3 linked regions of the Neodiprion lecontei genome follow. The protein of the gene in region 3 interacts with the protein of the main gene of each other region in a pairwise test. Links are inferred from orthologs where the notes say so. Each region holds a gene or a part of one and is shown on either strand. Other genes may lie near its edges. The genes, in order: CREB-binding protein, importin subunit alpha-3 and transcriptional activator cubitus interruptus-like.

The links.
Region 1: the proteins of transcriptional activator cubitus interruptus-like (region 3) and CREB-binding protein interact in a two-hybrid assay, tested with the Drosophila melanogaster proteins (3 studies listed by BioGRID). The link is inferred for Neodiprion lecontei from reciprocal best matches to the Drosophila melanogaster genes ci and nej.
Region 2: the proteins of transcriptional activator cubitus interruptus-like (region 3) and importin subunit alpha-3 interact in a two-hybrid assay, tested with the Drosophila melanogaster proteins (2 studies listed by BioGRID). The link is inferred for Neodiprion lecontei from reciprocal best matches to the Drosophila melanogaster genes ci and Kap-alpha3.

Annotation. Positions count from the first base shown.
Region 1 is NC_060265.1:8,992,990-8,998,242, forward strand, and holds the start of CREB-binding protein, read left to right. Parts: upstream 1-2,011; 5' UTR 2,012-2,137; coding exon 2,138-2,279; intron 2,280-2,699; coding exon 2,700-3,014; intron 3,015-3,661; coding exon 3,662-3,985; intron 3,986-5,253.
Region 2 is NC_060261.1:35,296,005-35,301,257, reverse strand, and holds the start of importin subunit alpha-3, read left to right. Parts: upstream 1-2,088; 5' UTR 2,089-2,315; coding exon 2,316-2,381; intron 2,382-2,755; coding exon 2,756-2,870; intron 2,871-3,243; coding exon 3,244-3,448; intron 3,449-4,064; coding exon 4,065-4,225; intron 4,226-4,299; coding exon 4,300-4,526; intron 4,527-4,649; coding exon 4,650-5,015; intron 5,016-5,107; coding exon 5,108-5,253. Other genes in the region: 2-oxoglutarate and iron-dependent oxygenase JMJD4, read right to left, coding at 259-705, 775-1,048, 1,123-1,420, 1,590-1,824.
Region 3 is NC_060260.1:7,976,655-7,981,907, forward strand, and holds the start of transcriptional activator cubitus interruptus-like, read left to right. Parts: upstream 1-2,382; 5' UTR 2,383-3,479; coding exon 3,480-3,754; intron 3,755-5,253. UniProt on the Drosophila melanogaster protein: Has a dual function as a transcriptional activator and a repressor of the hedgehog (Hh) pathway. The full-length ci form (ciFL), acts as an activator (ciA) while ciR, its C-terminally truncated form, acts as a repressor. Involved in segment polarity.

The sequences.
Region 1 (5,253 bases), on a different chromosome or scaffold from region 3:
TCTAACTCTGAATGAATGATTTGGTAGTCGTAGTCACTTTTACTTGGAGATAAAGAGCAGAACAAACCAAAAGTAATATAAAATCAAATAAACTATCATGAATCAATATGGTTTTATTCTTACCTGAACAGTGAACTTGAATTCTTGTTTATCTTTCCTAATACAAGCTTAATACACTTTCCAACAGGGCAACAAGAATTTAGTTGCAAATTCACTGGCAATGGCAGCAGGAACGTTGGGTAGTAAAAGCCCCAACATGCAGTCTCCGCCCAATGTTTCGGTTTCCAAAGGTGTCGTTGACTCTCAGATGGTTGTCAGTCTTGGTAATTTACCCAGCAGTATAGCCAGCTCGCTAACCAACAATCAAATGTCAATTGCCAATTCAATGGGAGGGCTTCAGTCGTCGATGAGCATGACTGGAAGTAATGCTACAATGTCGATTCCGGGTGGAATGAATTCCGGACTTGTCATGACGAGCAGTGCCAGTGGGAACAATAATATGGGTGGAATGGCAGGAGGAGGTTTGATCGTGGCAAACAGTCTGAATAAGCAACCCTTAAATACCGTAAGCTCTTTTGCGACTTATTTCTTTACCCATACTACCTGTTTACATATTGTGTATATTCTACCCTAATACTAACGAACATATTTAACGGATGATTCTGGTACGGGTGAACTTAATTGTACATCAACTATCTAGCTTGTTGATACGAAAATATTTTTGTCCTACCAGAATTTCATTTCTGGGCCTGGTTTATAGCAATATATAAGCTTTGTTTCTGGACTACTGAGCTTTCAAATATACTGCTGATAACGTTACGCTTTTGGGAACCGTCATAAAGTACAGAAATACGATATAAAAATCATAGAAAAAAGTTATATATATTTATTTTCATCAAACGGGACGGAAGAGTGGTAAAGACGGTTACCCCTGGGAGAATTTTGTGACGGCTGGTGGGCCTGAGTGTGCCCGGAGATATAATGTAGAAATTTCCTGCAATTCTCGACTACACACTATAAGAAGCAGTTTTAAACCACCTGGTAACTACAGTCAACTCCCATACCCCAGGACCGCCAACACGCAATTTCATATGACACATAAAACTCAGTCAGGGTAACTGTCTTTACAGACTACTGTCGCCGTGTTAGACAGCTCATTCTTGCAACGATTGTGCGAATCTTCAAAAAATCAAATATTTTTATGACTAGTACAAGATTCAACATTTCTATTAAAGGACACAATTAATTTATTAACTATTTCTATTCCAATGATTTCATTTCATTAAAATTTATCACATGTGACCAACTTTCCAAACAATCTGTATCTATGCTGTACGTCTACATGTACTATGATTGATAAAGATACGCATGTCCACAGATTAGTTTGCAAGTGGATATATCGATTAGGTATAATAAAATACGTTTGTCGATAACATGCGCTCTATGATTGTGTCAAAGCAGTCCATTCTCCAACTATTACAGAAAAAAATTCCGAGGACTATAAACCAGTTAAAGTCTTATAACTTGAACGCACCCCTTCATGTGGCTCCTTTCTTCTTTCTTGCTGTCATACAAATCTAGTCAATGGGGATTCTATATTCTTTTATCCTAATTGCAGTACCAAACACATTCGGCATTGAAATATAATATTTTCTGTTTTTACATTTGACGGATCAGAGTTTCGTCATTTCATGATTGTGAAAATAAAGTGCCGATTAGCATGCTTCTTAATAATGTCAACCTTTTTTAGGTAACAATGATTGGCTCAAATGCTCAAGGCATACATCACTCTGCTGGACCTCATGGTGTAGGCCAAATGCCAAATGGTCCAGCTGGAATGATGACTGCTAGGGCTGTTGTTATGCAGCAGCAACAACAACAACAACAACAACAGCAACAGCAACAAGTGCAGCAGCAACAACAGCAGCAACAAGCACAGCAGCAACAGCAGCAGGCGCAACAGCAGCAGCAGCAGCAGCAGCAGCAACAACAACAACAACAACAACAACAACAACAACAACAACAACAACAACAACAACAGCAACAACAACAACAGCAGCAGCAGCAACAACAACAACAACAGCAACAACAGCAGCAGCAGCAGCAACAACAGCAGCAGCAACAGCAGCAAGCTCATATGGTAGGCTCAGCAAGGGGCCAGAGTCCTCACCAACAAGTGCACCAAGGAGGAATGGTTGGACCTAGAATGCCAGCTCCACCAAACATGGCAAATATGTCGAATATGGGACAAATGGGTGCTTCGAGTCCGTATGGTTATGGTAAGTAAAATTCATAGATCTTGTTCTTCATGTACTTGCAATATATAAATAAGAATTGTATACTGACTCATAGATAACTCAGCATCTCTGCTGATCTTTAATATGGAATACACAAATACTTTGAAAGATAACTTACTTCCTCAAAGCTTTGAAGATTTTTTCATTATCGATGATGACAGAAATGGTCAAATTTGTTCTGCTGACTTTTCGCTTGTAGGAAAAAAAATTTCAAAGTTAATTATATCGAGTCATTTTGTGTTTGTCTAAATGTACTTGTTATAGTTTTGAGGGTTATTGAAGCTGGAAAATTTGGTGAATTCAGCCAGCCAATGCAACAGTTTGATTTAAAAAAAATAATAATTTACCACAAATTTGTTTCAAACGTGCATATAAATTCATTTTTCTTTTCTGATTTACAAGTAAAATGTTCATCAGGGTCTCCAGGTGGTGCACCAGCTCCAAGTGTCGGGACCAATAACCCAGTTGCTGTTGTTGCTCCTCAACAAAGACCGGCAGGGGCAAATATGAACGCCATGCAAGTTGCCAGATTTGGTGGTCCGGCTGGACCTATTGGACCAGGAAATATTGTTGGCGGCCAGGAAGGTGGGATGGCTCAACAAGCACAACCACCAGCACCAAGTCCGGCGCAGCCACAGTCAGGTGCACCAAGTGGAGGGCAACCCGGTCCTCAACAAGCAACACAGGGCCAAATGCCTGGCAGCGGTCCCCAACGAGGTTTGTTTTAATAATCAGAGTCCAAAAATTCAGTTTTCCTCAATTTTCAGAAACTGGAATGAAACTCTTCACTGGTGACATTTTGTTTCTTAAATTGTATACCGATTACTTCCTGTTAGCGTTTAAATATAAATTCTTAATGTCAATATCAGTGATTGGATTGTAAATGTAAAAAAAATTTTTATTATTAAGTTAATATTGTGAATATTCACTGAGCAAATCGAACTTTACACATTTCTTTCTCTTCTGGGTAATGAAATCATTTCACACTTTGGGAAATGATAGTGTTTATAAATTTGCTCGTGTGGTCATTGGAAAAGATTTGGAAAGTTGACGAAAACACCACAAATATACTTTCAGCTAATTGTTATTTACTTTTAGGTTATCGCACGCTACTAATATCGGAATCTCCATATTTTTACATTTACTATTTATTATCCATACTGTTCTAACTTATCACACAAATGCAATCGTGAACCCTGTAATTTTCCAATGTTTGAAACACTTTTGTTGCTTCACAGAAGAAAAATCGTGCAAAATGCTGATTGAATTTGTTGTAAAACTTGACAGTTCGACAGCCCCTTGACATCATTCAAATGAAACTATAGAGTTGAAAAAAAATGAACAATTTGCTGAACTTTTCGCAGGTGCTCCTCCGTCGACAGCTGATCCTGAAAAGAGAAAATTGATTCAGCAACAACTGGTCTTGCTATTACACGCGCACAAATGCCAGAGGCGAGAGAGTCAGGCTAATGGAGAAGTGTGTCAGTGCACATTGCCACATTGTAAAACTATGAAGAATGTTCTGAATCACATGACGACATGCGCAGCTGGGAAGACTTGTTCTGTACCACATTGCAGCTCGTCTAGGCAAATAATAAGCCATTGGAAACACTGTGAACGAAGCGACTGTCCTGTCTGCTTACCTCTAAAGCAGGCGGATAAAAACAGGCATCCAAACGCTGCTGGTGGTAAGAACTTTATTTCAAACTATATTGTTGACTTAAAAAGGAGCATGGGTCTTCATTTTACATATCGTTCTCTTTTGCGACTATTGTTTTAAATAAAATATGTTCATGATTCGCATAAGACGGAACTGCATCTAAATCAGAACAATTGAAACACATCTTTTTTTTTAACCAGGATAATTTGAATAACTGAAACAGCCTGATGAATTCATAGGGTTGTTACAAACCTGGACACCTATCATAACACCCAGGCTAATTTTTGATTATTGGAACACTTAGGTTATTTACTAGATATTTTTATTGGATAACGTTTGGTATGAGAATTTACCTTATATTATCAATTACGGGTAATTTTGGATTTTACTAAAACTTTGAAGTGCAGTTTGAGGTACTAGATTTTTACCTTCACTCAATATGTTTCGTTAGGAATCAAGCTTTTCATTGTTAATGATTTGATGTCTATTAAGTAAAATATAGTAACAGGATACATTTTTCTCTCAACATTCTCTATTAAAAGGACATTTCAGCCGTTGGAATCTTGAAAAATTAGGGAATTTTGGAAGTGAAAATTTGTAACAACCCTGAATAAACACCCGTAACAGTCAGAATTACTTTTAAACTCAGTATTAGCTGTTCAGGATCTAAATGTGAGGAGTTTTGTTCATGGGGTACGCACTAAATGTCTTAATTTCCGACCAATTTCCGATGATTGATTACTCGTATTCATGTTCTCAAACTGGTCTCTAAAGTTCTGTGAAAGATTCGGCAGAACCGCGATTATTAATGCTCATTTCTTACTATTTTCATTCATTTCTATTGAGAAAATTTGAGTTGGTATGTGAAAGACATAGAGTGGGCTTATTTATTAGATTTATCAATTTGTTGTTTTAAGCCCGCTAGAGTCTGAAGGTGCATTTACATTCAAAGTAATTCTACCATAAGGTGGAGGAGGGAAAAGTACAAGTTTTGGAAATAATATTTTTGTTTCCTTGAATGTTAGATTTATGGTCCCATTTGCAAGAAGAATCGAGCAACGAAAACTGGGTAGTCGAACATGCTGTGTGCCCTGAAAGTGAACGAAACAGATTTGATAAGCGGCGGGCCCAACATAATATCTGTGTGTTGATTAAAGGTTATCCCAAAAATTATGCATAGGTATCCCTGCACTTTCTACTTTTAAATACTTGTTTACAATGTCTTGTCCCCCTCACGTGGTTGCTCAAAAAGTGTAATTTCGTTTTTTCGTTAAAAATAAAGGAATGATTGAACTT
Region 2 (5,253 bases), on a different chromosome or scaffold from region 3:
ATGTTTATCAAGGTACAAAATAATGAACAACAAAAAATACCACAAATGCTTACACAACAAAAAATTGATAATGTATTCACCACTATCCACAATGTGACCACAATACTGCATAATATAAACACATTGTATAAATTAAAATGCGGCAAGAGTTTTGTACTAATAAAAACTGGAAACACAATGAAACATTTTAAAGTATTAGTACATTTATTTGAAAAAATATAACGATCAATTTACAGTGTTTAATTTCCTAGTACAAAGTTAATCTCCAAATGATGGATTTACAGCTAAGATTTTATTTATTTCATCGACAAGAAATCTTGCTTCATTTTCACTAAAAATTAGAGAGTGTATGCACTTTTCTTCAACATCTCTAATCATATCATCTAACACCAGCCTAATTTGTTTCAGATCGTAAAAGCAATGATTTCTTCCCAAATACCAAGTGTGAAAACTAATCACAGGAGTATCCTTCATGATCAGAGCCATACGTTTCTTCGATAGGAATGAGAGGAACTTGTAGAATTGTACATAGTCCATGCCATGTGAAGCTTTCAACATTAATTGACAGTGATCATCCCAACCATCCATATCACGACAGTCTTCAACTTCTCTCATCACAGCACAAAGTTCTTTTTTTAAGGAAATCCATACATTCCAAACATTGCAAGCATTGATCCAATTATGATTGATAGAAATAGTGTCTTCCTAAAAAAATGCATTTATTTAATCAGCATTTAGTTATAACCTGGTGCTTACAGTACTGAAAATTAGTACCAAATTCCAAACTTGATGATGCCACCCAGATGGAATGAATACTATTTCACCAGGTTGTTGAATAATTTCATAACGTTTGAGTCTATCTTCATCATAATTTGGATACATTGTTTGATTCAACAACTCATTGGAAGTTGTTATGTCATAGATTAATTTCCCATGCTTATCTCGCAGACTCTCTTCGTCCCCAGGTGCAAAGAGAAGCCAGCGTTTTTTTCCAACTATATTAGCTGACCAGCTATAGGATGAGAAGACATCTGCATGAAATGGTGTCCTAAAAGTACACGAAAGCAATAAGAATTCTATCAACAAATAGAATTGCTCATTTTAACATAATTGTAGCTATACCATGTTCCTTTTGGACCCATGTAGATAAACATATAATCGTCATTTAATTCTTCCTGTTCTGTGTAATATTCGTTTAACCAATCAGAGGCAAAATACTGGGGAACATTATAGATTGGGATATGTGGATTATTTTTTACGCAATGCCAGTCCTTTAGATATAGTAAAGGCATATTTTTTGGATCACTAAGGTCACGATATGTGATCCAATAGTCGACATAATCAGCCAATGCCATATCATCCTTCAGTTGGGAATTGTAGTATTTTGCTGTACAGTCAGCCACAGGTGCAATACAAGATCCTACGAGAAAATTTTGCTTACTTCACAAGTATGTTTGTAATTGGGAAATGAATTCATTACGATATTCTATTCCATGATTTTTTCTTCATTCAAAATGGATCAATTTCGAAACAGTCTAAACTCTAGTTTCATGTTTAGTGGTGAATATTATTGAGTGCGTAGCTCTCACCGAATACTCTTTTGATGTATTCGAAATTTGGCGCGTTGTCTGCTTGCCACATTTGTCTGCACGGCCATGCATCCGTGGCAGATTGGATCACGCAGGGAATATTGTTCTGTAAATATCTTCTAAAATATTCATTGTACGATAAAGAGTGATTGACATATCCAGTGACGTTATTTTCGACTGATGTTCCGAATTCGTGGTATGCGTAATCGTTAGAAATATCTATAACTTTGGTCATTCCGCGTTTACTGTAAATTTATTTTAGGTTAGGTTCTCTCTTTTCGGATGAATCGGATGAAACTACTTTATATCGATCTAGAGTGGAACCACGATAGTAAAATCCGTAGAATCGAAATGCAAGAGTACGCAAGCGCCTCTAATAGGTTCATGGTTAAAGCGTTTTGATGTTCGTCAACTTCGAGGTGGTCAGCCTGTGTGGTAACTTTGTATAATTTCGGAACACCGTCTTCTTGATTCTTCTCGTTTTTCCCAGAGGTGAAAAAGCTGTATTTGTTGAGAGAAACGTGACTTTATTCGCGTGAATAGCCGAAACGAAATCTGTTATGCATGGTAGTGCATATTCGAGTATTTTAATTAATCACGCTACGGAATGCAGTAGTTAAAATAGATTGTGAAATAGGTTTGTTAACGAGGAAATTTCTGAACATAGTGTCTCTGTGAAACCGGCACATCGCATCTACGCTAGGACGAACATTGGTTATCGCAAAAATGGCGTCTGATCCACTAAATAAGAACCGAATGCAAGTTTTCAAGAACAAAGGAAAAGATCAAGACGTAAGTATCCGTATTACGAGTAGATAATCTTCTCTTAGTATAGCGTTGTATTTATTTTACTAAAAATTCTCTGTCCCTGCCACACGATTTTAATACATTGATACCACGGACTCTTCAAACCTTCAGTCATGTTTGGTATTTTAACCATTTAATCAGTGACTCACCTATATACACCTCACAATTGGATCATTTTTAAGAAATTTTCAAGGAATCATTTTCACGTTCTGTTCCGTCGATACGATGGCACGCGAAAATTCGGATATGAAATTTTTTTCATTTCGAATAAGCATGCCTTGGGCAGTAACGGAAAAAAAAAATTGTGAAAAAAATATGAATACCATATCCGTACTGAGGTATTGTTTCTTCTTAATAAGAAGTTATTTCAGGAGATGCGCAGGAGAAGGAATGAAGTCACCGTAGAGCTCCGGAAGAATAAACGTGAAGAAACGCTACAGAAACGGAGAAACGTACCAATTACAGATTCCACGGGTAAGGTGACGTCTGATAGAATGTTATTAGTTTGGGCTACTTGTATCAGTTTCGTGAATACCTTACTTATTGTTGAATCGTAATTGGGAGGTATAAGCAATATTGGAGGGATTTATTCCTCATGTAGTTGCAAATCTAGTATTTTTAGGTAGACAAACTCTAGTTCTCAATCATAGAATAATATATAATAAAGATATAATAAATAGAAAAATTAATCTAGTCATCTCATTTTATAATCTACGACGAATATTTGGTATACTTGATGAATCAATTGCTCTGTAACATGACGTTCTTTCTCATTTTATTATAAAGTTCATGCGTTACAAGAGCATTATGTCTAGATATTCAATTGAATAATAAATTGGTTAATTAGATGAAGAAGATGTGGAGAAAAATTTGGCAAAGATCGATTTGGGTGAACTGGTAGCCAAAGCAGGGAGCGCTGAATCCGCCGAGCAGTTGATTGCCGTCCAATCTGCACGAAAATTACTGTCTTCAGATCGTAATCCTCCAATAGACGCCTTGATTGATAGCGGAATCCTGCCAATTTTGGTACACTGTCTTGAACGACATGACCAGTAAGTTGAAATACCGATGTCTTTAAATCAACGTTGTGAATACATATTTTATGCATACAACATGAGTGCATATTCACACGGTTACTTTAAAACACATCAATAAAAAACCAATTAGGAGTAATAGTATTCCTTTTTTGTTATATTTCATCAATGAATATTTCTCTATTATTTTATAACATGAGAAGCAGTATGATACATACAGCATTATTCTTGCAACACCTGCTCAGAAAGCTGGATTTTCAGATTGTAGAGCGTGGGTAAAATATTTTTTCTGAACAATGCAAATAAAAAGTGGGTGTACATGCACATTTGAAAGCTTCTACTTTTCATGCTATGGATTTTTGGCGCATACACATTTACAAATAAATCAATTTTATGCACTATCTGTGACTGCTTCATTGAGCGCAAGTTACCTAGCCGAAATGTCAGTGTCACTTTCGTTACTTTTTAAATCAAACTTTCCCTGCAGGTATTACAAAAAATATGACATGTGACACGTGTCGACAAGCAATACCTGACTCGTGTGATTGCAGTACTTGCCCTTGTGCTGCTAGCCACACTCGTTTGGTTATTGCCTATTTACGCACTTGTCAAATAATGTACTATTATTTTTCAGTCCATCCTTGCAGTTTGAAGCAGCATGGGCATTGACGAACATTGCAAGCGGAACATCTGCTCAGACACAGGCAGTTGTTAAAGCTGGTGCAGTGCCATTATTTTTACATCTTTTATTGTCCAGCCAGCAAAATGTCTGTGAACAAGCAGTATGGGCTCTAGGTAAGGAATCTAACCATGCTGTGGTTTACGTAATTTTTATAAATTGTTTTATCGAATTTATTATTTGTCCCTAGGAAATATTATAGGGGATGGGCCAGCGCTGCGAGATTATGTAATAAACCTTGGCGTTGTGCCACCGCTTTTAACTTTCATTAAGCCAGATATACCTATCACCTTCTTGCGGAACGTTACGTGGGTGATAGTCAACTTGTGTAGAAACAAAGATCCCCCTCCACCAGTAGGGACAATTAAAGACATTTTACCAGCACTTAATGTACTTATTCTACACACGGACATTAATGTGAGTAGATCGTCATGTCCAGTATCACGTTATTCTTCCCTAACGAATCTCAGGTTGTGCAGTTTCAACTTTTGATAATCTATCAAAGACTGGATCAACATTTGGCTTTTGTTTTTCCCATAGATTCTCGTTGACACAGTGTGGGCTCTGAGTTATTTGACTGATGGTGGAAATGAACAGATTCAAATGGTCATAGACAGCGGAGTCGTACCTCGTCTAATTCCTCTGCTCTCTCACAAAGAGGTCAAAGTTCAAACGGCTGCTCTCAGAGCTGTTGGCAATATCGTTACTGGTACCGATGAGCAGACGCAAACGGTCTTGAATTGTGATGCTTTGTCCCATTTCCCTAACTTGCTAACTCATCCTAAGGAGAAAATTTGCAAGGAAGCCGTATGGTTCCTGTCAAACATTACTGCTGGCAATCAATCTCAAGTTCAGGCTGTAATTGACGAGCAGCTATTGCCACTTATTATTAGTAACTTGTCAAAGGTATTTAAATTCAATCACAATTATTCAGTTGACTTGATTAACGAATTCTCATTTGTTCAAAATCTAACACGCCATATTCTACGATTGGGCAGGGTGAATTCCAGACTCAGAAAGAAGCAGCATGGGCGATCAGTAATTTAACGATAAGTGGAAACAGAGAGCAGGTGGCACGCCTGATTCAAGAGGGGGTAATTGCACCATTCTGCGATCTACTGTCTTGCAAAGATAGTCAGGTTGT
Region 3 (5,253 bases):
ATACCGCGTGCGGAAAACGAGTGTGATTCGATTTACCTGCAGCGTTGCACCTTCAACGGGTTGCGGCACACCTACGTTACAAGAACACGGCCGCAATATAAGCCTGAGGGACGTTTTTGCAAACACCGAATTACATGCGGTAGACGCGTTACATCGCACTGTGTAACACGAGAACATACAGTAAGCCTGGCACGAAGACGTGTGTAAGTATAAAGGATACAATATACGCCCATAGTCGCTTATATGTTCACCCCGAAGAAGAGGCACCTGCGCCACATGCATACGTAGTTAGTTACCTATACATTAATACAACGAGTCCATACAAACCGATCCACGATACAAACTCGTACCTCTAATACCTATACAGAGCTCATAGCATAAACCGCGTCGGATACCGCTTTTTGCTCCATCTTGGCATGGAGAGAGAGAGTCATGGGGGGGAAACGCGGCGAAAGGGCGGCCGTCGAGGGGCCGGATTGGCGGCCCTCCCCCCTTCAACCGCGCCTCCGCCCCGCCAGATCGCGGTTACCTGCGGCTGCGACTTGGTGGGTACGCCGCATGAAGAGCCCCGTGAGCACCTATATACTCACACCTCGTACATCGGCGGTCTGTGCAGAAGGGGGGTAAAAGAGAGGACGGGATAGGAGAAGGATGGAGAGAGACAGAGAGAGAGAAAGAGAAAGAGAGAGAGAGAGAGAGAGAGAGAGAGAGAGAGAGAGAGAAACCGAGCGCTGCAGGTGGAGGCGGCCGCGTCACCCGCCCGTCCGCGGATTCGATTGAATCATTACGATGCGGTAGGTGGTTGCGTGGGTAACGGTGAGCAGCGGCGCCGAGAAGAGTTCTGCACCCTCGATTTCAGGATCTAATGACTCTATTCCGTTGATACGTACGGCGGTGCTCCGTTTCCGTACGATGTATCCTATCACCGGTTAGGTATGATACGTTTCGATGGTTCGGATCAGGATGTGGAGAGTTAAAGGTAAGGAGAAGTATCTCATATGGATATTCGAATGAGAAAGTGTTCGCCGATAAGCAGGAAGTAGGGTTTCAACGAGACACCGGAACGGTGCTCGTGAGGAATAAGGGAATCAATCCGATTGGAGCTTTGTGGAGCTTTCGCTGCAGCAACGCCATCCTAATTTCTCTCTACTTTACGGAACACTTTCCGCACACTGGAGATAGTCCTCCTTACCTCTACCCTCGATAGATTAGGGAAAGAGGGTTCACGTCGAGGGGCGGAAGGGACTGCGAAATTCAACTCTTGTGAAAACAGAAAGCGTCCTGCCGTATAAGCAGGATGACAACTCGCCCGTGTCTCTGCGGCTGTAACCTATACACGAGAAAGGAAAATTGGAGGAGAGAAAAAAAATAATAGGCGAAATAACGTGGAGACATCACCAGGGATCACCGGAAGTTGTTTCAACTCAACACCGAATTGGGACTTCGGCTCCGGTGGCATGTGGCAATAAATACCTATACTTGAGCGCGTCGGCGCGGAAAGGAGCGAACTCGGGACTAGTTCTCTCATTCCTCTATCTTGTAGGTCCCTCGAGTTTCCCGATCACCCCAATTGAGAGCTGACGGCACATCCGCTAAATTTCTTGACTTTTTACCATTATCATTATTACTGCACTTCTCGCCGTGTAACGCAACACCCCAAAGTTGGGGAACGTAGAGACAAATTCCTGGAGTGAAAAGTGAAATTCGTCCGACTCAATATCGACGATATCATTTTCCAGCTCCCGCCCCACGTTTTCATTCAAGACTCACCTATCTTACAAACTCACCGCAATTGCGCACGCAGGTTGTATAACGAAGGCTGTGCAGATCACTTTCACAAACGCAACGACACCACCTCGGTTATCTTCGTTTCTCCTCTCTTTCCTCCTCTTCCTCCCCCGCTATAGAAGAGGGAACGACGACACCCCACCTCGTCCACCTCGTCACGCGAAGAAGAAGAAGAGGAAGAAGAAGAGTAAGAAGAAGAAGAGTTCTCTTCTTCCGTCTTTGTCCCGCTGGAGAAGGACGGCGGGGAGGAGCGGTTGGGCTGTTGCAGCGCGAGGCTGGTGCTAGTTGAGTTGTCGAGCTGACACGCGCTTTCAGCCCTCTCCTCTCCTCTCTCCTCTCTTCGCTCTTCTCTCCTCTCCTCTCCTCTCGACTCCTCTCCTCCCTCCTACGCGCCACCACTCTCGGACAACTCTGCTCTCCTCGTCGCGCTACCCCTGGCTATTCCTCTCTCCCTCGCTCTTATTTTCAGTTTTCTCTCATCTTCTCACTCGCACAGCACCACCAGGCAGGCGGTGCCGCCGCCGAGAACGAGTGCCGGGAATGCCTGGCCGCCCCTCTCTTCGCATCGCCGAGGACTCAGTACCGCCATACCCGTCAAAGCGTAAGGAGCGCGACATCACGTGGAACTACAAACACGTTGTTTCTCTACACCCACGATATCGCATCGCACCGTACTCAAGACCCAGTATTTCCATCGAATTCGACCACGAGTCCCTTCGCTCCTTATCATATTCCAACGGCAATTTGGATTTCTTTTCTTTTTCGGCTTTTCCGCAAGTGTGCGAATTCGGACTGTCGCTGTCACTTCGAGTGTCTCGTTTAAACCGCGGCGTGTTTAAAATAAAGAGATAAAACTTGCTGTCGGTCGAGTTTATCTCAACGTATGAGAAAAACAACACAAAACGTGCAAGATGAAGAAGGATTGACGTGAAGGATGTGCGGCAACCAAACCGATAACACAGTGATTAATACTTAGCCGCAAAAAGTGATCGAAATAAAAAGAATTCATCTGTAACTGGGGGGTGTGAAGTTTGAGTGGATTTTTTACGATTCGTCGAGAAATATACTGGAGGAAAGTAAATGAAAAATGCAAATAATGTAACCGCGTGGTTTAAATTAAGCCGTATGCGAACGTCACCCCGTGTGTGAAATTCTGCGTTGCAATCGAGAAAGAGAGAGAGAAAGCGAGAGAGAGGGGAAGAAAAAAAACACTAGTGCGGTAAAAAAGTTGACTCGCAATCAGGATTAGTTCGGGTAAAGAGTCCAGCTCAGGGGATCGGATCGGTAAGAATGTCAGCGAAGAACGAGGACCCGAATCAGGGTTAGGGACCGTCGGGGCCCATCGGCGACCAGCAACCGTCGATATCCTGGGCCGGGATACGCGAGAACTAAACCGCAACCACCGACGAAGAACCCGGACGATAAGCGACGGCCATGCGGATCAGGGTGAAACTGACGTCGAGTACAATAAAGGACCTGCAGAAATCGTCGCCGCGACGAACCCGGGATATTTAGGCGGCCCCCTCGACTCGGATCGCGGGTTCCACCTACGGCTGGAAGACCGACGTCGGTGTCCGAGCGACGCCGACTTCCTCGAGCACATCGGTTACGGGGCGAACTTCCGGGCAGCCAGGAACAGGGCGTTGACAACCCGGGAGATAGAGCTGGAGGTTGAACTCGAGGCGGCCAAGATGCCCGAGAAGGAAGTCGCCTACCATCAAGAGACCTTCTCCCTTTTGCCACCGCCACCGCCCCCGCCCCACCACCACCATCACCACTCGGCTTTTCACGCCGCGTTTCACCCCCACGGACATCCACCGCCGCCCTTTCACCCCCATCATGGACCGACGGCTCATCACCCCGCCGCAGCTGCCGCAGCCGCAGCCGCAGCCGCCGCATGGGAGCACCACGCCGCAGCGGCGGCCGCAGCAGCAGCCGCGTTTCACGCACCGCCTCCGCACCATCCGTAAGTCCCAGTTTTCGATCCTTCTTCAATCGCAGTCCGCGGATAATGTTTGAGAACCGCCGATTGTTTGCACTCTTCGCCAGATTTATGCATACCTAACCTTCGCTTATATCTGCACGGAACGTTTTTAGACAGACCACGATACGTATTCCGGAAGTTTTGACCGATCAAGCTTGAGCAAAGACTCAAATTGTCACGGATACCGGGTTCCAGTAATCGTCAATGAATGGTTGAGATTGAGTGGTACGAATCGTTTACCACTTCATGCGCGTCAGGTTTCAATGATCCATCACGAACCGATTACTCAAGCTTGGTGATACAGTAAGGATTTGAGTTTGCAATAAAACTTGATAGATATTATAGAAACGTTAACTTCGTGCACAGAATCCGATTCCTTACTAACACATTGCCCAAACACGTCGACCAAAACTGCTAAATGTAGAACAAGCGAAACCAAGAAATCGGTGAGACAGAAAAGTGCTTATCACGTCGAAGAGAGAATCAACGCGATAATGAATCTTCGGTTATTATATATAGAACATACAAGACTGATTTCTCTGACAGATATGATGGGGTGCAATATGACGGAGAATGAAAAAGAAATATTGTACGCGTTGAAAGTTTGTCAAGGTTTCAAATGGAGTTAAGCTAATTGCCGCGTATATCTCCCAACATTGTTTTCCTTCTTCTTCCACCGCGCAGTAACATTAGACTATCACTGCACTTATCATTACCTACCTATATAGTAACGTTTGACGGAATCGTTCGTTAGGCTCTGCTGTTCGTAACACGCGGCACCCGAGAGTACACAGACTAAACACGATTCGAGTCCCCCGATCTTCATAGTTGGAGATTACCGCGAGCCGCGGCATCGAGTTGCAAAAAGATATAACGCGATTATACAACTAACGGCGTTCCGAGTTGATATCGGGGTATATATATAGTAGTTTGATATTATAAAATACAAACAACGCACACGGACGGACTCTCGATGAATCGGGCGCGGTATCAGTGCCGGAAAAGAATAAAGAGGCCGATGTATATTTTTGGCAATCTAAAACCTCGCGTGTTCCCATCATCATCATCATTATCATCATCATCATCATCATCATCATCATCATCATCGTCGTCATCGTCGTCTTCGTTCCTCCGTTCACTCTTTGTCGGGAAAGAGAGACCTTGCGCGGATCTTTGTTTTGTTATGTAGATTAGCGCAGGTATAAAGGTATATAAGCCAAAAGCAATTCACCTTGCTGAAAGATGAAAAGAAATTTTTCATGGATTCTTTTCAGAACAGATGGGGGATATTCGAGTTCATTATATCGATAGAACGTCAATCTTCGGGGGGGCATATGCACAACCTGCGACCAGCAGTTGCGTGCATCGCAGGACACTACACGATATACGTACCAATAATATACATGATAAAACTGATTGCCGCGCTCGTTCATATAGGTGATCACCTATACACACATACCTGCTTTATAATTGTGCAGTAA